Linked DNA regions of Styela clava. The protein of the gene in region 1 purifies or fractionates together with the protein of each later gene. This does not show direct contact. Links are inferred from orthologs where the notes say so. Each region holds a gene or a part of one and is shown on either strand. Other genes may lie near its edges.

Region 1 (11,785 bases):
TTATTATAAATAGATAGTTTTTAGTTTCCATGTTTTTGTTTATCGTTTTTTAATTTAATCCCATTCCCCCCAATAGTCTACATAATATGAATAGTAAAAATCAAAATAAAGAAAGCAGGAGAAGTTACCTTTAATTTAATCCCATTCCCCCCAATACATATGAATAGTGAAAATCAAAATAAGGAAAGCAGGAGAAGTTACCTTTAATTTAATTTAATCCCATTCCCCCCAACATATGAATAGTGAAAATCAAAATAAGAAAAGCAGGATAAGTTACCTTTAAACAGCGCTCCGTCTGTGCCTTGAGAGGATTTGCGTAAAAACTTACAAAGACTTCGTTCTGAATTCAGATTTCTGGATATTCCCAAACTTTGTCGTCGATGAGATTTAGTTATTCATCATAGGCTATAGGCTACAAGCATAGCCTACATTACAGAGTTTTTTCATCATTTTGTTTGTTTTTGTTTTGATTGTCGTAACTGTAATGTACGCATGAATGGCAATGTATTTTGTCGAACTTTGACCCTCATAATATAAGAATTTGTTGATTCAAATTAAAATGTTGACATGTTTTTACTAACAAAAAATAAATGAAAAAAAACTTAAAAATTCCATTTTGTTTTGAACTGTGGATATTCAAGCGCCTTCAATTGAAAAATAATGATAACTAATGTTATCCAACGCTTAGGTATTTATGCCTATTTGTGAGAAGAATCCTAGACTCCTCAATTTAAAAAAATACTTCACCCGACTGGAAGACGTTCACAGACTCGAATACTCAATAATATACAGAAAGTTAAAATGGAGAATTCTGCAGGGCAAGCAATACTTCTCAACAAGTTTAAAACATGGGAAATATCATGTGCCCGCCCACCTGCACAAACAGAAAAATAAATTACAAAAAACACAAACCTAGTTAAAACAAGGTTTGGGCCAGAAATAAGCAAACAAAACATAGTCGAATGTATAGGAACTTCCAGGCTGTTATACTTTTGAAACGCTTAAGCTGTTGCAATAATAATGACCATTTCATTGTGAATCGTATATAGCATTGGTTCTCAAACTGGGGTCCGCGGACGCTTAGGGTCGGCAAAGCGATTTCAGGGGGACCGCAGGACAATTTTGATTGATTTAAAGTAAAATTTGTGTTTCTCCAAAGCACGACACCGTCTACCGAACACATTATTACGTAATAAACGTGGCAACGTCAGTGAATCAGAGCGTATTGTTTATGAAGGCGTGTGCTTCTAATTGTAAATTTTCTCGGGGTAATTTAAAAAATGCCTCCCCCGTCACAAAAGGTAAATTTAGATATAACAATTAAGATGTCAAATTTAGTTTTGCTGTGATAAGGTCTGGAGAAGAAGAAAAACCATAGTGGCACCGTTCTATCCCGATGTCGCTAAGATGGCACAAAAGATGCTCATTCCATTTGCAACAACTTACGGATGTGAGGCAGCTTTCTCTACATTACACGCTATTAAAACAAAATGTAGGAACATAATGAACGTGAGACACAATATAAAGGTTGCATTGCCCGAAACAGAAACCAAGGCCAAGGTAAAAGAACTAGTGGGAGCCAAGCAGGGACACCCATCTCATTGAACTGTTTTATTGATATATCGCGTTGCTATTTGCTTTAGTTTTTTTCGTGAACCGCTAGTCATCAGAAAAATTGAAAGGGGGCCGTTATGCACATTTTTACCGCGCACATATACCAAGTTGCTATTTGCTTTAGTTTCTTTAGTGAACCGCTAGTCATCAGAAAAATTGAAAGTGGGCCGTTATGCACATTTTTTCAAAAAGTTCGAGAACCACTGGTATATAAGATAAGATAGGATTTACATAATCACCCCGGGGGAGAGAAAAGCCAATAGGACGGCTAAATCATATGGCGATTTTCCAGTTTCCGCCATAATCCTTTCCGCCCTCTTTTGGACGAATGGGCCAAAAATTATATTTTTGTTGAAAAAAGATCGCATGTACATTGATTTGTGAATATACCTTTAATACTGATTACTGAATACAGGTGTCGGTGGATTACAGGTGTCGCTGCTCGATAACCGACTTTGGATTTTCGCGTCACCTTTCACCATGAAATGTCATTTTCAACTTTTTTTAAGTTTATGTCCAGTGTGAGTGCACTTTCATTTCGGTGAAATATAAACTACTGACTGAATGAATACGGTTCGGCGATGTGGCGCATTGTGCTAAGCGTTAGGAATACGCTCGCCACCGCATCCCTGATTACCCTTCGTCGAATCCCATGCGGGGATGGTCATGTGCGTGAGGATTGCTTGACTCCTCGCCGCCGTATGGCGTAGGATGGTTTACGTAACCGCTGGTCGGTTACGGCTTCCTCTACCACCAAATCCATGCTTCCGAAAACAAATACCTTGCTAACTAACCCCATACCTGGACTCTGGACTGGTAACCGGACGAGAGACCGTGGTTTGTCATATGATTAAGCCGTCTTATCGGATTTCCTCTCTCCCGGGATAAATATGTAAATCCTATCCTATCCTGGTGAAAAATTCTGTTCACAAGTGAAAACATTTAGGTATAGTCACCTACTTTTCTGATTGACAAATCGCTATAAACACCACTCTCTCTCCGTGTGGGTGTGTCGAGGGCTGGTGTTCATTGGAGAACAAAACGTGTGTATCAGTGTTCAAAAATATGAAAAAACAGCACGCAACAACAAGTGTTCGGTATTCGAATACCGTATGCTATGCCGCTTCCGAATAAATAAGCCATAATTGTTGCTGTGCTTTATCCGTCATATTCAGATTCAAATACCATACAGGTACGGGTACGGTAACGGTACTTGTTGTTGCTGCACTGTTTTTTTAAACACTGATACCGGGATGTCATCTGATCATGTAGAGTGGGAGTGGTGACTCCTCTGCGGCCCATGGGCCGGGGCCACGGCCCATCGAATTGGGCTTCGGCCCATCTAGTTGTGTAAAGAAACTATTCCCTTGGCTAACACAGACAGTCCCCGAAATCATAATAGAACTATAATGTAAAAAATCTGAATTTTTTTTGTCCTAACCCTAACCTGGCACACATACTACAGGAGTATATATTTTTTTGGTTCGAATATTGACAATTTGGTAAAATTTGAAAATTTTGTCAAAATAATTGAATTTTTCCTGATGGGGCCACGGCCCATCAAGCTATGGGCCACGGCCCATGTGGCCCGATTAGACGGGCCGTGGCCCCGGCCCATGGGCCGTAGAGGAGTCACCGCTCCTGTAGATCATGTATGTGATCGTGTATACTATGTGACGATAAGGGTACGGTAAGGAACCAACTGACCTAAGGATAGGATTCAAGAGCAACTATTGATGTTGCCTTCAATTTTCACTGTCCATGTTGCTGATGGTCTGGCAGTTGTGTACTTTCTACGTTTCTATGACTATAACTAGGCTAACCATATTTCTGAAGCAAAAAAAAAGGGACGACGCGGATTGGACAAGCCAACCTCGGTTCGATTCCAGAGGCTTAGTAATAGTTTAAACGTTTCCAATACCATTGTGGATAGATTGGGTCTAGTATAGTTTAGTACCACAAGTACTTCCAGTGGGCGTACCATAACGATTTTTGCATATGTTATTCCTAACCCTCACCTGACTATTCCATCCAAAAATTACGTCATTACGACGTCACCATAGGGGTTGCCAAAGTATAATTACGATCGCCCGAAATGGCATCTGCGCCGCCGATAAGAACTTGCTAAAGCCGGCGATCTCTCTCCTATTGTGATCGTTGCGACTAGAAAACGAGAGAAATAGCTTGCTCGATTTCGGGTTATCGTCTGCGTGTTTTGGACGACCATCCGCATACTTCGGTGGGCCTTATTACGCCACTGTGACGTCAGAATGACGTAATTTTTCGGTGACGTAGTCAGGTGGGGGTTAGGATTGACATATGCAAAAATTGTTGAGCCAGGCCAACTAGAAGTGGATGTGGTACTAAACTATACCAGACCTGATAGATTATTAAGGGTATCAAAATGAGCTGTTAATCCTGTCAAAATATCCTCTATTGCTGTATTGGCCTGCACTTTGTTCAAATATTGGAAATTGTTCAGCTCCTTATAAAACTTGTACTTTGTTTCGGCATTTCGATGATTCAACGACAGCATGGTAGGGTATTAAATTAAGGCATGGTTCATACTTCATATCATAATTATGACATAACAATTTTACTCCCTATCTGAACTAGTGAAGTGAGACGTAAATCAGCTGCATCTGTTAAAAAAATATTTTGTAATAATATCAAATAGAAAAATTATTTATGACTGCCATACTGAAAACCGGGGCATTAGAGTCTATCGCCGAGACGGCGGAAAAATATGATATAACCGGGACTGTCCTGGCTAAACCAGGACGTACAGTAAGCCTAACTAGAACCATATTTTACCCTTTGGTGGTTTTCTTCACAGTTCAAAAATATACAGAAGTATTTGTCAGTAAATCAGTGTTAGCTTCTAACAGCTGTGCTGTAGGGAATGACAATGAAGCAGTAGCAAATTTGTGATAATATCTGTTAAATAGTAAATCATGTTCAGCCACCACGCATCATCTGGAAGTGTGTTCTCGGCCAACTCAATCTTGAGAAAACTTGTCAAACCCAGCAAGGTTCATGACGAGAGTGTCATTGAAATCATCGACAATGAAACTGAGCCTGGAAACATATTTTTGATCAATGCATTAGTAACCTGTGTTATGCCAGAAGAACACGGTGGATGCAATTATGGTGTGATATATTTTGACTTGAATCAACATTTTGATTTATTATCTTTGATTTCAATGATGGAAGAGCGTACAAATGCTGATGAATCTAAGCTAAAAGAATGGATAAGAAAGTTTTATATTGTAAGATGTGATTCTGTTGAACAATTGATAATCACACTCTATTCAATTGAACCTTTGATTGCAAACAGCAAAATACCTGTGAAATTGTTAATTCTTGATGGACTGTCTACATTTCATTGGAACGAGCAATGTGCTGGAGGTTTTTCTCAATATTTGAAAGAGCAAAATTATAGAAAACTGGTGAAAGCTTTAGACTTATTTCATAAAAAATATAACCTTTCTATTTTGGTTCGTACTCTTGAAATGTTTCCACCAATCACTGCAGAAAATGCTGACCAGGAATTTGACCTGAGAAACCTAAAATTATATGGTGATTTTTGGGAGAATTTTGTAACATATCGTTTTATTTTAAAATTCAAAAAATCATCAACCATCAGTAAGATTGATGATTTTAATCGGACAGATGTAGTTCTTAGTTGTTTTTCACCTAGCCATTATGATGTATCATTTTCTCTGAAAGGCAGTGTAGTGAAATAGTTACTACTCCTTTTTACTGGAATAATTGAGTTAATTTTTATCGGTTCCTGCTAATATTTTAGTACTAATTTTTTAATTACACATATATTAAAATGACAAAGTTTCATATGATACAGAGAAATATATTTTCTGTGGCAATTTTTTCCAAGCAAATATTTCAAGCATTGGTTGATATTTTATTAGAATTGAGTAACCTTGGAGTTGACATTTTCTCAATAACTTATCTCAGCTGATTTTTTGAGCTTGTTATTGCCTATACATACAGACATATGCTGCTATCCAATTAGCATAATGTATGTATGTATGTTTATTCGTCTTGTAAAAGCAATGAACAAAGTTAGAGTATTCAGGATATTTAAAGAGTTATTTAGTGATAAGTTTAGCCCTGTCATACAAGGAGACTCTGGTCTATTTTACTCTGCTGTGATGTTGCATTCTCTCGTTACAGTCTGACAGTGTGATCATTCTAGCTCACCGTACTCATTTTTGATGTGTGAGAAAAATTGAAAAAAACTTAGGTATAATTGTTTTAACACTACATAGGTTTAAACAGTTTTTATAATCTATAGATATTTATAGTAGCCTACTGATTTTGCAACAAAGACTAGGCCTGCATGAGCACCATGGCAATGGATGCATCAAAAACTTCAGAAGCAATGGATATTCTACTTGAAATATCAAAAATATTGGATACAAAGCTGGATGCTGAAACATTGAGCATTTGCGTAGAACTATGTGAACTTGGTATCAACCCTGAAGCACTTGCATCTGTCATCAAAGAAATAAAGTCACAAGCTGCTAATCTCAAGGATCAAGAGAGTTGATGGATTTGATACACAGGCAACCTTGGACAAAACAATAATTATTTCCGTTGATTTCATTTTTCTATATCCATTTTCATTGCATTTAATTTTAAACTTTCGGTTGGTGATTACAGCAATTTGTAAATGCTCTTCTGGAATAGAAATTGTCTTAAAATGCTATAAAATGCCTTTTTTCATAGTAGTTGAATATTATATGTTGAAAACTTTAGGAGAATATGTTTTTCTGTTCGTACGTACATTATCACATGATTTCTGTGATTTATTCGAAGTTGTCTGAGATATTTTTCTTTCTATATTTTTTTTTATTATTCTTCATTTTTTCTAGATTCTGATTAAAAAATGGCAATTGTCTGTAAGAATTGTTTTTGCCGAAAAGTTTTAACATGTCAAACAGGAAAAAAATCCAATTTCTGGAGATTTTCTGAAGTTTTAAGAAGATGTTCTTCCACACTTCCATTTTCATCAGATCGGGATCCTGCCCAATCTGAAGGTTTACCAATTCATAAATATATTGACAAAACACACAAGCGTGTAAATATGTTATTTGCATGTGGCTTGACAGCAACAGGTATTCTATATTTTTTGGCCTTTTAATTTACAACAAATTCTTTTTTTATGTTAATACATACGGTACTTGCTATCTTGATATATGATATAAGGACATATTTTTTGTTTACGATTCAATTTATAAAACAGGTATTCTAGAGATGTTTGTAAACAAACTTTTTTATAAGCTATAATTTGTGTGAATAGGCACATCCCTGTGCTCCTAAAAGAGGATCTTTGAATCTATAAAAACACAAGTACAAAGGTGTATATGTAGCTCGAAACTTTATCCACAATTCGTAAATTTATTCATTATAAATGTTTGCTAATTTTCGCATCTATTTTCATCATAACGGGACATATGGAGCTACAGTATCCTTCTTATTTATGGCACATGTATGGCATACATCCACTTATAAGCCACAACTCAACTTAAATGAAGGGATTTGTTTCCCAGATAACAATTCATTCAATGTTGATTTTCAGGTGCACTTGGATTAAGAGAAAAATCATCTAGAACTCAAAGTAGACGATATCCTATCAGACTTACAAATATTGGCAAATTAAAAATAACAAGTGTTGGTTGTGGATATGGTTATACAGTATTTGCAAGCAATAATAGAGTAAGGATTTCATTCTCGATTGAATAATATTACCAAATATGAGGTGACATCAATATATATCTAAAGTAACACAAATGTGTTGAAAATTGATTGATAGTTATTTGACTAAGGAATAATCAAGATTGAAACAAACAACATAACTTGGGAAATATATGTTGTTATAATCATGAATTGACATCGTTCAACCTGCTGCTCCAACATGATTTAGCCAATAAACTGATAGTCATGCTCACAAATAACTATTCCTTGAGTTTTCTTACGAATCACTGGTGCAAAGGCTAGGAATCTTGTTTTTAGAAAACTGCACAAAAAATGCATGCATAACATCTGACATAAAAAGATTGATTTTTCTGAATAGTAAGGTGAACAAATTCATATGGCTTTTACTATAGGATTTGATCAAGGTTTGGGGAAGTGGAATAAACACTCAATCACAACTTGGTTTTCACAGTAGTCAAAAAGGAGTCACGAAAGGGCGTCCTGCAGAATCTGGCCATTTCGATTATGTTATGGAAACAACAGCAATACCTATTCCATTTGATTCCTTCTCAAAAACGAAAGTTACCCAGGTAAACAATGACACCTTTTTCGTGAACACTGGTATCTTGTTTTTGTTGCTATATAATTCCATTATTTGTATTTTAATTCATTTCATATCTAGGTGTCCTGTGGTCGGGCTCACACTCTTTTATTAACTGATAATGAAGGTATATTTTCATTTGGATGTAATTCGTTTGGACAGTGTGGTAGAGAAATCATTGAAGGAGAAATATATCAAGGTAACATTTTTATATTTCTAAACATTATTTTTTACGTATTGATCTTTGCAGTTTGAAGAGTATTTACTAAGAAAATTTTTGTTTGCAATGCATTTCTTCACTTTTTGTAAAAAAAATTTCACCATAAACCGTTGCCAGTTGCCACTGCCCTTACATCCATTAGACCAGGGGTTCCCGAACTTTTGGTGTTAGAGCCAGGTTTGGAGCCAGTTAAGAGGTTGACTACAATTTACAAAGCCTCATAAATTTGACACATGACAAACATATTGATAATGTAGTGTCGAAATGTGGCAACAAGGCAGTAATTAAAACATGGCATTATCTATTGGGACCTAATAATGTCTTAGTTTGAATTACCGTAATACTACTGTTGTCAAAATTTATTAATGCCATTATTATTCTCTGGAAAGTTACGAAGTTAGTCAAATCAGTATTCTAATAAGTACACGGATAGTTTGCCGAGCCCTTAGGTTTCTCTTGTGGTGACCAGGGGCTCTGTATGGCGCACTTTGAGAACCAATGAAATTAGACCACGAGTATGTGTGTTACTACTCACTACAGAAATTGAGATGGAATAGATGTAAGATTGTTATTGAACAAATTCTTTGAGTTGCTTTTTCCAGGTAGCAGGAAGATCCAAATTCTTTGAGTTGCTTTTTCCAGGTAGCAGGAAGATCCATTGCATACCACATAATCACTTCTTATCACCAGTGACTCAAATTTCATGTGGAATGGACCACAGTTTATTTCTCACCAAATCAGGAGAAGTTTACGGATGTGGATGGGGTGCAGATGGACAAACTGGTCTTGGCTCATATGAGAAAACTGGAATACCAAAGTTGTTGAAAGGTGATTTGGAAGGTGTTAAAGTACAACAGGTATGTTTTGAAGTTTTTAAAAATTTCAAATATGGTGTTGCCTAATATTATATTAGTCAACCATCACATAATAAACAATGCATGCCATAGCCGCATGTTGCTGCAACCCGGTGGGAAAGTTTTTCTGCTTCATTTTTTCTTCAACCTAATAAATCTGCAACTTTTTCCGAGTGAGCCAGAGTGTTGCTCGGATAAAATCATTCTTAATTCATATGAAATTTTCATTCCACATTCCGGTGGAAGAGCCTACAGTATTATACAACTTGAATTTATGGGTGAGTACCGATTTGAGGTACGTGTTCCTTGAAGATAGAAAGTTTCAACAAAAATTCTGTTGTTGTTAATTTTCCCATTTTAAGACAAATGGCAGTGTGTTTGGCGGCAATAGGGTTCACCATATGATTATGCTGTCTTATCGGCTTTCCTCCAAGATGAATATGTATATCTCATCGTATCCTTGATAGATGCTTTCCTAACTTATAATAAACTATACAGGGCTGATAGGAATTAATTTAATAATGTATATTTATAGATTTCTACTTTTGCTGACATGAGTATGGCAGTTTGCGAAGATGGTCATTTATATGGATGGGGTAATTCTGAATATTATCAACTTGCATCCGTTACAGATGACACACAAGTTTGCACTCCAATCAGACTCCCATTCAAAAATATCGGTAAAATTGTTTCTGCAGCGGCTGGCGGTAGCATTTGCTGTGCACTAAATGAAGAGGGAGAGGTATTTGTTTGGGGATATGGAATTTTAGGGAAAGGTCCCGATTTGAAAGACTCGCGACACCCAGAAAAAATTCCCCAAACATTATTTGGAGAGTCTACTTTCAGTCCAAGTGTAAAAGTTACCAAAATCAAATGTGGAATGAATCATTTTGCTGCTGTTACAAATAATGGAGAACTTTTTACATGGGGAAAAAACAAATCTGGTTGCCTTGGTATTGGTGAATACAGGGACCAATATTTTCCATGGAAAGTCTTGGTGCCTGGAGAAGTTGTCGATGTGTTCTGTGGTGTTGATCATACCGTTATACTGTCAAAGTCTATGTTGTAATTCCTGAATTAATATTATATTTTATGGACGCATTTTCTTTGGTGTGGCAGGAAAGTTTCAGGTCGCTGGTAGATATATTTGTTATGAGAAAAATGATTTCAACAGCATTTGCATTAAAATATGATATAAAACTCTTAGTTTATTCGCTTTGAAGATCTTGGTTGTGCCTGCCTAAATGCTGGCGTCCAGTCCTGCGCCGTCTATATTTGATCAGTGGCAGAAGCATCAGAAGATTGCCATGAAAGTGTCCATGAATAAGATATTGTAATAATCTGTTATAATTAGGGCTGGGAATTTCAGGGAATACACTTTTACCGGGTAAAATTAACCGGTTAACCGCAACGTAACCTTTGACATAATAATTTATAATTTTAGCTAGTTACGTCACAACGGTTACAGAGCAATTTCGGGTGATCTTATCCCGCTATCGCTCAAAATTATTCACGAATCGTGATCGCTCTGCTACAAGAGATATGCAGCGTGATTCGGACATCTGAAAGTATTTTAATAAAACCCGAATCCATTATTAAATGTCATTTATGTGACAAATTTTCAGTGTTGGACGTGCAAATTATACTCTGAGATATCATAAAGAAAAACGGCATCTACTGCGAACTTGTTGAATGACATTGAATATACGATTTTGCAATAAAATCGGGAACAAAATATTTTCACCGAAAACTGAATTTATCATTGTCAAATTTTTATAATCAGCAATCTTAGTACTTATTGTTCACATTTATTGGGTCCTTACCAATACAGATAGTGTTATTCTTTAGAATTAAATGCCACAGGAGATAAATTTGCGATGACGTAATCATTTTTAAAAAAGTTGTACATTATAAAGATAATTTGTACCTAAGATGTCAGTTAACGGTTAGAATAAATTGTAACCGTTAACCATCTAAAATCGGTTAACCATTCCCAGCCCTAGTTAGAATATTCAGTTGAATTCGAAATATGGGAAATAAAACATGAAAACAAAGCGGCAGTGGTATACATTGTTTTTATTTGACTGCTGAGGCAACCTATGCGGTTCATAGGAATACAATACTGTGCAGAGATCAAATACATAACTGAAATAGGGGCTAGAAGTCTTATGAATATGGTATAAATAGCGTGCGCCTCTTATCTTATCGGCTTTCTACACGGAGGTTAAGTATGTGAATCCCAGTGTTATGTGCAAGTCTCATTCCCGCTTTTGAACAAATCAAGTAGTTTAATTCAATTATATGTGTGCCTAAATAAGTATTATAGTAATAATAAAGAACACTGGTAATACTGCAGCAAATACATAAAAGATCCATATGCAAATGTGCTGTGACTACGCTTGTTTGGTCAACTGAATTTATTCATATTTACTGGAAACGAATCAGATTATTTTCGGCTTTGAATTTTATTTCGTCTGTCCCAAATGTCTCAATGTACGGGCTATGAATAAGAAAACAATCGCAAGGAGTTATAATACACAGTTCGTATAAATTGAAAACAGAACGTGATGGTGAATATTCACTGACGTGACCGGCCGACATTCGTGCTATTAATTCTGAAAGTAAAAAAGTAGGTGCATATATCGATAGAGCAACGGCTTTCGAAAGTTAAAGCATAGTAGCCGCACTGAATGTCATCAAACATGAATGCGTAAATAGAGAACGAATTTATACCACACTCTTGAAACCTCTTCACTAATCCACCAAAATCCCAGCTGT
Region 2 (11,953 bases), on another chromosome or scaffold:
TTAGTCAGACGACACAGGCCTCAATACTGACCCGATTGAAATGAATTTTTGCTTATTTTTCTTTCTCAAATATCATCAACCTATGAATGTTTGTAGGTATGAGAACTATCCTTGAAAATATTGCCAATTTTTTATTATTATTATTTTTCATATATAGGGCACCAAGTACTTAGGGCCTCTAAAGCGCATGATCCGGTCCTACTTTTACTACAGCACCATTGTATACGGATCTACCATTTATCTAGCATTTACTATTATTTTTAGACTACAACGCAGCCGTTGCAGAGCCACCCAATACAAAAACGAACGAAGAAGGAAAAATAACGCCAAGACCCGTCGTCAAATATCGTCCGCCATTTTTCAGACCAACTGCAGCTACTTTACCGCCGTTAATCCCAAGAAATGCTTCTCTCCCACGACTACCTGCCAGTTCTGGTGGCCTCAGCGGAGCAGCTGCATCATCCTTCGGATCTTCCGGAATCCTCCCCTCTGGCAGTGAGTTTGAATTTATCATATTTCGAAATAAATTTGGTAATTCTAGACGAAATAATTTTGCATGAAATATTCGATTAATTAAATGAAAAATGAATTTTTAGCGCTTTCAGAACATGGTGAAAATAGGCCTTAAACATAAGACGCCAAATGCCTTTTAAATCAAGTTTGATTTGGAATAACCAGTTAAATCCATTTTTCCTACCCTGTTATTTACTAAGGGCTATGACAAGATATAATACCAATAATTAGAACTAATTTATAATTTGCAAAACGCATGCATAATATATTTGTGTTGGTGTATTATTTCAGATTGAAAATAAAGAAACATTCCAGTCTTTTTGAAAATAGTAGGTCCAGAAATATCTGTGACTACTTTGCGTAGACTTGCATAGAATTGCTTAAAACGTCCTACACGAAGTGTGCATATTGATCGTTTTGTTATTGTGTTGTTGTTCTTATTCTAGTTGTTGACATTTTTCTTCTTAACGTTATGAAATAATTGTCTTTCTTTTCAAGTCCTGAACCAAATACCATAGGGCTCACAGGAAACTTGAAATGAATAGAAGTAATAGCTTTCTTGCGACAACAACCTAACAACAACATAATACACCAAACGATTCATCCATATGTATATTTCGTGTCCAATAAACTAAAATGGTATTATTACTAATCATGTATATATAGCGTGTATATATAAATAATTTCATAATCCGTTATTGTCATTTTTACCATGTAGACGTACCAGGAACGGTTGCACCACTAGGAAATTTACCACCGTTGAGGACAAGAGGGGGGGGATCATCAGGGTAGGTTTGACTTAAATTATTTTCAATACACAATCCTTATATTTAATCGCAGGACAAAAGTATTCCTTCTTCCCACATATAGCATAAGATTAAATTACTGCTTTGAATTACAGATATCTGTGCTATGTTATAGATGTAGGATAATTGTAAAATGAATTCATTTAGGAATTTGTTTTTACTATTGCCTATTATTTGGGAACTTTCTAAAATGCATAATAAAATAGTAACTGTTACAACCATTTCTTTATGCTATTTCAATTTTCCCATTTTCTTCATATTTTTTGTTATTTTATTCTCCTGTATTTTTAGCGGATCTGGTCTGCCGGCAAATTTCCCAAGAAACCATCCTTTGTTCACTGGTTCTAATGCGGGATCTGGAACTGGAGGTAATGCAGGATCGCCGAGGAGACAAGGTGCAGGTGCAGCAGCAGGAGGTTCTACTGCAGGCGGAGGCTCAAATGGACTTGGAGGATTAGCTGGAACTGGTGGTGGTGCCGTATCCGGAGGAACCGGTAATTCCGGTGCTGCTCCTGGCACTTCCGGAGGATCCGGTGGAACATTTGGATTGTGGCCTGTTTTAACTCAAAACGGTCCAGTATACATCCCAGTGCCAAATCCCCAACCTAATCTACCAGTGGCGCCAGTTGCAGCAAATTCGCCAGGTAGTGCTTTAGCTGGTGGAAACAACAACAACCCAATAGTTCCCGTCAGATCACCAAACAATCCCATTGTTCCGATAGGTGGAGGCACATCTGCAAACAATCGCATCGTTCCACTAGGTGGCGGCACATCTGCAAACAATCGCATCGTTCCACTAGGTGGCGGCACATCTTCAAACAATCCTGTTGTTCCACTAGGTGGTGGCACGTCTCCAAACAACCCAATTGTGCCTATTGGAGGTAGAAGTCCATTATTTAATCCAAATCCGTTGAGTTCAAATCGACCAATCGTACCACTCGGTGGCAGTAGCAGTAATTCTGCAGGAGTTGATGGGAACACCCCCATTTCAAATGAAATAATCCCCATTGGGGGGAGTTCAGACACCCCTCGACCACCAATGCAGCCTGTTTTTGAAGACGAAACCGAACCCCCCGAGTATGAGGATTATTACACAGACCCTAACGGACCATATGATGAATACTATAACCATGAAGAAACAATTGTTGGTGAGTGATTTCTAATCCCTTTATTTATTTTTGTAATTTTAAGTGAAATGACCAAGTTCAGAATATGTTGGAGCCACGGAAACATTTTGAGATGGCCCACAGGCCTATTAAAAATTGCTGATTTTATTTTTGTCACCATAGTTAATTTTGATTATAGTAACTGTTTTCTGCTACGGAATGTAATTTTCATTCTAATTATTAACGTAAAAGTGCCCATTATTGCACGAAGATTTAGTTTTTCCTTGTTGTTTCTCCTTTTCATAAAAAAAGATAATAGGCCACAAAATTTTTGTTGATCAAAACTGGGCCATGAAAGTAAACTGTTCTAAGCATTAGGAACGCGCTTGTCATCGCTCGTCATATGATTAAATCATTCTATCGGCTGTCTTTTCCTCAAATATAAAAATATGAATTGGATAGACCAATTCTATGATTATAATTTTCTTATTATAAATTCTGTATTTTTCAGAAGAGCCACCGAATCTCATCCTTTCCATAACTGAAGATTCCTATCGCTATCGGGAAGAAGCCGCAGACGCATGCGCGTTTGAGAATAAAATATTATGTAGTCTTCCACAATTGGAAGCAGCTAAGCAAGCTGGGCCAATACCTCTCATTGAATGGGGATGGTTTGGTATGGAAGGGAGAGCAGCCGGTATACATGACTGTTTGCCAGGTGAATGTAATTTTATTACTTATTTTTTTACAGAAAAAACGCATTGATGTGAAAATTATTGGGCTCAAAGCACTATTACCGCTGATTTTTTAAGAAAACAACGCTTTTTGGCTGATTGGGTTATTTTAGTTTCGGATTTTCGAGTTTAGAATTGTCGTTTATTGATTCAAGTACTTTTTGGGACGACGTACGTATGTAGGAGTTTTAATCTTTTGCCACTTTTTATGGTATCACGACCTCTATTCTAGCGACAGTTCGAAAACATTTAACATAGTGTTTGAATTATCGCTGAACGCGTATAGTGTTATGCTCTTACAACGAGATAGAAATGTCTAACTATGCAAATAAATATGATATTTAACATAAATTATTATTTTTTTCACAGGCGAAGTCAAATGGCAAGGTTATAAATGTCATAATGGTGTCGTTGGTCACACTCCAGTGCAGCTATCTACAGCATTGAAAGGATATTGTTGTTCAATCATGCGTGGCGCAAATGTCACAGATAGAAAATTCAGGTTAGAAAACTACCCTTCAGTATGTTAAATTCACTTTTGACCGTTTGGGTAAAGTTGAAGTGCTGTTATTGATTAAAATCACCGTTTTACTCGTATTATTTGACCTTCTTATACAGAATTAGATTTTTATCGATATACCATTGTAACATATATGCAATGTTTTACACTTGAAACGAACTCGGTCGAACCTATTTCCGATTGTAACGAAAATCAGATTCAGATATTTTATTTTTATCATGCAAAAATCAATGCAAGAAAAAAGTGTATAACAGAATTAGAAAAAAATGAAATTGAAAATTACTTCCAGCTGAATTGCGAAACTATAACATCTTTTTTTTTCTAGTAATTTCCTTTCACGATAACCGGTCGTGAGGCTTTTGTAACATAAAATCTCGATGTGAATCAATAATTCATACCTAATATTTCTTTTTTTTAGTAATTACCATTCTGCAAAAGAAGGTTGTGAGTCCCTCGATTCACATATTTGTACATTGGAGGAAATGTTTGATGTTTGGGAGAAGGTACGTAAAGTTTTCTTGCATATTTCAGAATAACATACTTTTTGGTTTCAAATAAAAAATAATATTATGTGCATATTTTTTACATAATAACCACTGGTACATTGACCCCAAATTACTTATCTACAGTCTCTGACACGGCGCCTAGTTAGCAACCTAAAAGTTAGGAGGAGCTGGCTCTGATGACCACATGGTCGTATTGCTCCTTCCAGTCTATACAAAAAAAAAAAAAACTTTGCGTATGTTATTGTATATCTTTTTATTGTTGCTTCTTTTTTCTGATTGACGAAATATGAGTCTATCTCTTTCCCTATCTCTGGTATTCTTATATATATATTTCAAATTATATTATCTGAAAAGTATAACAGGCTATGTATAATTCTAATTGCGTTTTTTTTTCTCAAATTTTAGTCGAGTTACAAGAGCGATACATGGGGATGGTACAACGATGATCAACACCTGATTAAAATGGTTCATACTTGTGATCCTAACCAAGTTAGATGGCCTGGATACGAATGCCTATCTCGAAAATTAGCCACGTCACAGATTGTCAGTTTTGTTCAAGAAAGCGCTTATTGTTGCAATGGCAACTCCGGTGATGTCATCAAATCAAAGTTTTCTGTACTCTCGATTGCGTTCATTTTGTATTATTTTACAGTCTTTTTAAATTGTGAATAAATAAAAACCTACTCTTTATCGTTTGACTGAAATATTTGAACCTGTTTCTGGATCAACTCGTCCGCTCGTCATTTTGAAACTAAGAATATCTAAAAATGCGCAAATATCAACTCGATTTGGTGAATACATGTGAACAGTTTTGGTCACACATTACAGAACTAATTAAATATTGAAGTAAAATAATTTTTAGTCTGTCTCTGTACTTTTTTCTAATTTTATGTTATTAATTCTATGAATTCTATTCTATTAATTCTATGTAAAAGCTTGTTTTAGCTAACTTATATTATGTACAATAAACTGATTTTTTTAAAACTTGTTTTTTTTCCAAAGTCTGTTTTGAAATCATATATATAAGATTTCAGCATCAGACATATTTTTTAGCACTTATGTATGAAAGCTTGCACAAGACATTTTTCCGATGACCAAGTTTAACCCTTTCCCCGTCAGCGCCATAAATTTCAGCCTTCGAAGACGTACGGATAGCTGAGCTGTTGACATTGGATTAGTGAAATCGTTGTCATATTTGTAAAAGAAAAAAAAAATTTCATGGTTCCAACTACGGTGGATTATTTGGATCTGAATATTGTAGACGCTCGGATAAGCACACAAGTGAATTATAGATTATTCTAAAATTAATGGGCCACGAAAAATGTGTTTCGACAAAGATACACACGTCCAACGTTCCCTCTAAGCTGGCCGAGAATCTCCGCGCAGTACTTTCGTTCTGCCGCGCACTGCATAAGTATTGACAACAAGACAAGCTAAATACATACTTCATATCGCGCGCAGACCTTTTTTTGGAGCTCACATGGCCTTCTATTCCGCGCAACTAAGCAAGCACTTAGACTTAGAAGGAACGTTGCACACGTCACTCATATGGTGCGGCCTGCCCAGGCCAAGGAAGTGGGAACTAACAACAATTCCAGCAATGAGCGTTCCAGGCAACTCCCCATCACCGTCTACGTTATATTGCCGCCCATATTGCAGACCTCCTACGGACATCGGAAGTACAAGTAAGCCAACATATGCATGGAAACTAGTTACAAGAAATTTTATTGAAAGAAAGAAGAAAAAACAAAAAATACTCAGAACTACTATTTGGGGCAATAATGGAAATAGGAATTTCAAAAATAGTTTCTATGTATTTGGTAGCTGGATAGCAGGCTCAACTCTTTCAATGTTATATGTTTTTTATCGTCTGACTCATGTATGTATAGCATGAATTCGTGTAAATATGCAGAGATTGTGTTATGTTAAAGTTAAAACAGATAAAATAGAATTAATATATATTGCTTGGTGGAGAAATATCACATGATTCAAATTATAGTTTAATTTTTTTTTAAATCAATTTGGGGGTAGCTGCACAAGTTTCAAGTAATTAATTAACTAGGATAATCTTTATGAGGAAGAGCCCCTACTACCAGTCATATTTTTGGAGTGACCTCGTGATAATTATTGAGTCATAAAAGTTCAAAAGAAACAATGAAAATCCTGATTCAATTCAATGAAGGATGACCTCAATTCACATATGATGTCATTATAGAGCAGATATTAAATGATGAAATATTTTAGAATGAAAATTCAACAATTACAAAAACTATCACAGGAAAATGCAGGAAAAATATTAAAATGCACTTTTTTACACAATTATTCAATGATTTTAGATATTTTTTTCTGATCGAACATTACCATATATTTATCATACTTTAGAAATATGATTTATATATGGTTTGTGTATTATCAGAAAAAGAACTCATATTGAAAATTGTTTCTCTACTTGTCCACTGTTGAAGTCAATTCTGTTCTCAGGCATCGAACAAGAGCGGGACCGAGGAGACCGCTTTCTGTGATAAAAAGTTAGAACAAGAGTTGAATTAGTTTAATTTGATCCGTCTATCTGTCTTAGACCATTTTTTCAGCAATTTTCTAGACTTTGAGCGTTAAATTTATATTAGCTCACCCTTACTGCGCTGACAGTGTCGGCTAGGGACGAAGGAATAACTCACATTTGGCTATAATAATTTGATATTTAGTATTATACCGAAGCGCCATTCTGCATACTTACTTCTTATCGCTATTTTACGATAAAATATTTCTTAATTGAAAGTGTTTACGTAAAAGAATCTATCAAATGTTTACCTTTGAGTTCCAAGAAAGATACAAACTCGTCAAGAAGTTCTTTGATGTTATCTTCACCAATGGCTAACGTGGGGTCTTCATCGGTAGCTCCTGAAAACGAGAACAACAAAATTTACTACCATTGCTCAAAAGTTATGACATAGGTTTATATCTTTGAAATTTTTCAGAATATTATACAGTAATCTTCTCGCGGATTTACCGACACAAAAGTGTGGTTCAGTTGCAATGACGTCATAATTCGCCAGTCACGGGTGTTGATCATGTTAGTCTTCGGCTTTTGAGCGTGGACTGTTACGTTCGTCGTCTGCGTATTTTCGTTTTCTAATCATCATTTTCAACTCAATACATAATGGGAAGGAATTTTATTCAAACCAAGCAAAGTGGACCAATGAGGTATTTCATTATAACATTTATACTATGTACCAATATTATCTATGCTCAGACATACCCACTACTGTACAGACATACGTCATAGTCACACGATAAGTAGCGCTATAACAAGTCTCTTGGCCAAACATTTCGAGTGCATCGTTTTACGAAATTTACCTCAATGTATCAATAATAACACATCTGGATAATGCAGTGCTCTCAAAATGGGGAACGTCTAATCTAAATGATGGTAATACATTTGCATGCTAGTTTTGTCTTTCCACCTATGGTATAGTTATCGATGAGCGTGTTGTTTACGGTATTCCTGCGCACCAATCAAACAGTTGTCAGATGATTGGTCGCACCAGCGCATCGTTTTGCATCTTTCATTGCGGCGTGTGGATCGTAGAATATTCGGCGCGTAAAGTAATTTTAAGTCGACTGCGTATGCTTAATTTTAAAGTTACAGATTGTGAGGAACGCGGGAGTCACAATGCTAGGCGTAAAACTGATTTTACTTTCCATTTCACAAGAATACTCTTCGTTACTTCTTAGTTTTATTGCGTTTTCACTTTTTCGTGCATGAATTATTTGAACAGAATGGGATCTGGAATCTACCAATCAAAATAACGCTATAAATACCCCTGGAATGATAAACAGGGAGGCCATGAGTGCCAAAAGCATCCTGAACGGGGCCACGACAAATGAAAGGTTGGGAATAGACTCTAGATATTTCTGAGCAATATCATCTTATATAAATTGACGATCGAAATATCACCAAAACCTCACAGCGCGGGTATTAAAATGCAATGATTGCCCAGAGTTAACGTTACAGCCACTGTCGCCTAATTTCAAAAATATCCGCCGTCGATTTATCGTTAACTGCGGACATGCACAGGCTCCATAACAGACATATGCAAACCATATTATGTTTACGATATTATTTTAGTTGCGGAATAAATTTATTGCAGTAGGTGTTATTTTAATTGACTCGAGGGTAATATTAATAATGCTAAAAAAATTGAATAAATTCACGCGGTTGATTGGTGCTAACGAGTATTGATTTTTAGAGAATCAATCCTTCTCCGAGATAATAATCTGAGATATTTTACAACCAAATTAAGGGTATTATAAAAAGTTGGTGAATTCACTAAAAATTTGCATAAAATGAATCATTTATATGTTAATGATGCGGAATCAGTTTGGCGCAGGAATTTGATGAACCAGATTAGAAGTCATGGTCCGCTATATGATTAAGCCGCCTCGCTGCTTTCCTCACCCTCGGGGGTGAATATGAAAATTTTATATTTAGTCTGAAAAATGAATTTTGATTCAGTAATTTCTCCAGAGCATTTCTGGTACTTTTGTTGAGGTTTTAGAATTAGTTTTATTTTTCAATGCTCAATCATGCGTTAATATTATTTTCTGTGGGATTAAACAGGTTTAATGTCAGTTTTGATGTTTTTTATTTTATTTAAAAAATTCAAACCTTACTGACCTTGTATTCCGTCTCTTTTTCCAAACAGCTTTTGAAGGGCATCTGTAACAATAAAACATGAAATGTAATCAGCAGAAATAATTTTGCTCCAATATGCCTATTTTTTAAAGGTAGTAATCAATAGAAACATAACAGTTGGGAAAGATTTTATTTAACAATATCGAAAATAGAAACAAAATCGAATATTTGGTACTCCTTTCTAAGAATTGTTTATGAGCTTATGACTGAATATTCAATAAAATCGAGAAAGATTTTTATAGGATGCATCACGTAAATGGCGATAGTTGTTTTATTTCCGTGAATTTTATTTAAATATAAATGCAAAATAATAATTTGGTATATAATGAGTCAAGCTTAGATGAAATATACACTATTGGTATACGTTATTTTCCTTTTTTGCTTGAAGAGAACTGGAAACGGTGTAATAACTTGTGAATGTAAATTCATGTAACAATTAAAGTCAGACGGCAATAATAGATGTGCTGTAAGTGTGTTGTTACTTCAGTCAACTTTACTCATTTTACCACTAGTCCGCTTATTGCAATCGTCATAAATTCGAAATGTGTTTTTTTTTTATTTAGTAACATTCACTTGTGTTATATTTTACTTTAGATTTATTCTAAGTGTGCTTTAGATTTAGGTTGCATAAACCCTTATATCGAGGTTTCCAATTCACTACACACGGTCACCAGCGACGGTCCTGGCGCTCGTCCATCCCCATTTTATTTACTTTTTAATAGCAGATAGTTGTTCAATTTGAGTTTAAATTGGATACGAAAAACAAGGATGTCAAGCTTAGATGAAATAATATACACCATTGTTAGACATTATTATTCTATGTTGCTTGAAGAGAACTGGAAACGGTGACTAGCGACGGTCCTAGCGCCCATTCACTCCCATTTTAATTATTTTTCAATTAGAGTGGATAAGGAGGTGATACTTGATTCCAATAATGCATTTGCATCCCCAATTATTTTGCTTTCGAAGAAATGTTCTGCTAAGTTTTCCATTAACAAGATTGTAATCCTGTAATTTGTGACAAAGAAGGCACTTAGATCATGAATAAATAATATTATTCTGTTTTAATGGCTGTATTTGCCTTTAAATAGTTATATTTAAAAAGAATCAAGCTAGAATTTTTGAAATTGTCATTCCAGATGTTTACAATTAACATATAGTTAATCCACTGTCTTGAAAATGTATTCTACAGAGATCATTTTCTTCCCCGAAAATCATTTACAGCAGCTCGGTTTTCCGTTGTTCTACCTCAAAATAGAACTTTATTAGAAAAAATGGTGCGTTACTGAATATAACTTTAAATTTGCGTCTTTAACAAATTTTTGAAATTTTTGGGATCTGATATTACGCGCTATCACTCCGCCGTATTCAAAATTTTTATTTTATTAATATCGAAGAAAAGAGATTTCGAGCGAAATTGAAAACATTTTCGTTCTAGATAAATAGTGACCATAATAAATAATCTTCGACTCACCAAGTCCAGCATTGTAGCCAATGCTATTCATGGTCCATCCTCCAGTTCCGCGGTAGGGTCGTTTGTTACTGCTTGGCTGTAAAAAAAAAAAATACAATCATTTAATTTTTTTCTTGAACAACATGAATTTTTGCAAAGCTTGAGGACATACATTTGAATTACCGCATTAAATTGATTTATCCCTAAAAGCATTGACAAAACTTTTCAAAAAATTTTCGTATTATGGATTTCATTTTCAAATAGGAGTTGCAAATATACAAAAACAATCAAAAAAATTTTTACGAGAATTTAAACTCCTTTAAGTTTTGAAAGAACTATATCAAATGTTACCAAATTCTCGCAGGTCACGTGCGTCAGAGTTTTATAATAATGTCCCAATCTTTTCAAGCCTACTCATGACCCTGTCTGAAAAATTTATTTTTTACTCTTTCCGTGAGCGTTATATATTTTATGCTTTAATGATCGAATTAGGCTTTCCTATTTACGAAATTGCGTAATATCAAATTCACCGCAGTTATGACAAGTTTTTAAGTGTGTTTGACCAAATGTTGAACTTTGACAATATTCTAAATTTTTCGTAATTGAACTGTAAGTAGATTTAGATTCATGACTTTCTTTAGTGCTATACACATATTGAGAGTTACATAGAAAACTGAATCTCTGTATCTGCTTGGAATCCCTAATTAGACGAACGAAATTGCAGGGAATTAGAACCAGTTTGAGCCCAATTTTATCTTCATGATTGTTGAAATTGGGCAGAATATTAAATTTCTCGAAGTGATTTTAGTCCCCTTATTTCTATTTTAAGGTTCGATCTCCGTCTCGGAATGACCAACCTAGAACGAGCACTTAGATATTGAACTGCACCAATGTCGGTTCATCTATGTTTTAAAATGGCCGTCATGTTATTCATTAAATTTTAAAGACGTTTTTATTGAAATGCAAAAAATTAAATTCAAATCTGGGCTATACGCCACAAGCAAATCAATTTCAAGATAATGAATATTGAGGAAATATATACTAAAATGTGTACATCTAAAATACTACTATAGTTTTGTTGGAATTAGTTTTCGATTTTTTTTGTCTATATCGGGTAAAAAAAGTCGATAAGACTATTAGCTGGTTTAAGATTACCTATACAGGGCGTCCAAAAAGGCGCCCGATTTAGCAGTGGTACCAATGAAAACTTTTTCTTTATTTATTCATAGTTCTTATTTTGCTCGCAGTGCTAATTTATCATACAATAAAATAGTTATTACCTCAAAATCGGGCAAAATTTTTAAATAGTTATTGCTGTGGGCGAAATTTTTTATATACTGTAATTTCTTAATTTTTCAGATAGGGCTCATTTGATATTTTAAAAGGTGCTTGAGGTGGAGAAAATAACTAATAAAAATTTCTGTCTTAGATTTCTGCAGCGCATTACGTAAATTTGTGTGAAATACAGAACATGGCGCCAAATGCTTCAACGATCGCTAATATTGTACTAAAATTTCGCTGGGCGAATCGATCTTGAGTTTTATGCCGCATTCTTACGCACGTCAGAGCACGACAAAGAATGGGTAATTGGGATGAATGTTTTTTGCAAATATTGCTAT

Evidence for each region.
Region 2: the proteins of RCC1-like G exchanging factor-like protein (region 1) and pseudouridylate synthase TRUB2, mitochondrial-like purify together in Homo sapiens (affinity purification with mass spectrometry; 3 studies listed by BioGRID and IntAct, with this or other methods). This does not show direct contact. The link is inferred for Styela clava from reciprocal best matches to the Homo sapiens genes RCC1L and TRUB2.

The regions. Positions count from the first base shown.
Region 1 is NC_135256.1:22,136,585-22,148,369, forward strand, and holds RCC1-like G exchanging factor-like protein, read left to right. Parts: upstream 1-6,181; 5' UTR 6,182-6,523; coding exon 6,524-6,752; intron 6,753-7,216; coding exon 7,217-7,353; intron 7,354-7,745; coding exon 7,746-7,922; intron 7,923-8,014; coding exon 8,015-8,132; intron 8,133-8,795; coding exon 8,796-9,010; intron 9,011-9,542; coding exon 9,543-10,076; 3' UTR 10,077-10,210; downstream 10,211-11,785. Other genes in the region: DNA repair protein XRCC2-like, read left to right, coding at 4,569-5,360. UniProt on the Homo sapiens protein: Guanine nucleotide exchange factor (GEF) for mitochondrial dynamin-related GTPase OPA1. Activates OPA1, by exchanging bound GDP for free GTP, and drives OPA1 and MFN1-dependent mitochondrial fusion. Plays an essential role in mitochondrial ribosome biogenesis.
Region 2 is NC_135264.1:14,099,076-14,111,028, forward strand, and holds the start of pseudouridylate synthase TRUB2, mitochondrial-like, read left to right. Parts: upstream 1-7,179; 5' UTR 7,180-7,389; intron 7,390-8,863; coding exon of another isoform or gene 8,864-8,905; intron 8,906-10,355; coding exon of another isoform or gene 10,356-10,431; intron 10,432-11,953. Other genes in the region: uncharacterized protein LOC120333741, read left to right, coding at 265-495, 1,232-1,301, 1,611-2,467, 2,937-3,143, 3,529-3,661, 4,098-4,182, 4,591-4,857; galanin peptides-like, read right to left, coding at 6,631-6,701, 6,997-7,086, 8,864-8,905, 10,356-10,431. UniProt on the Homo sapiens protein: Minor enzyme contributing to the isomerization of uridine to pseudouridine (pseudouridylation) of specific mitochondrial mRNAs (mt-mRNAs) such as COXI and COXIII mt-mRNAs.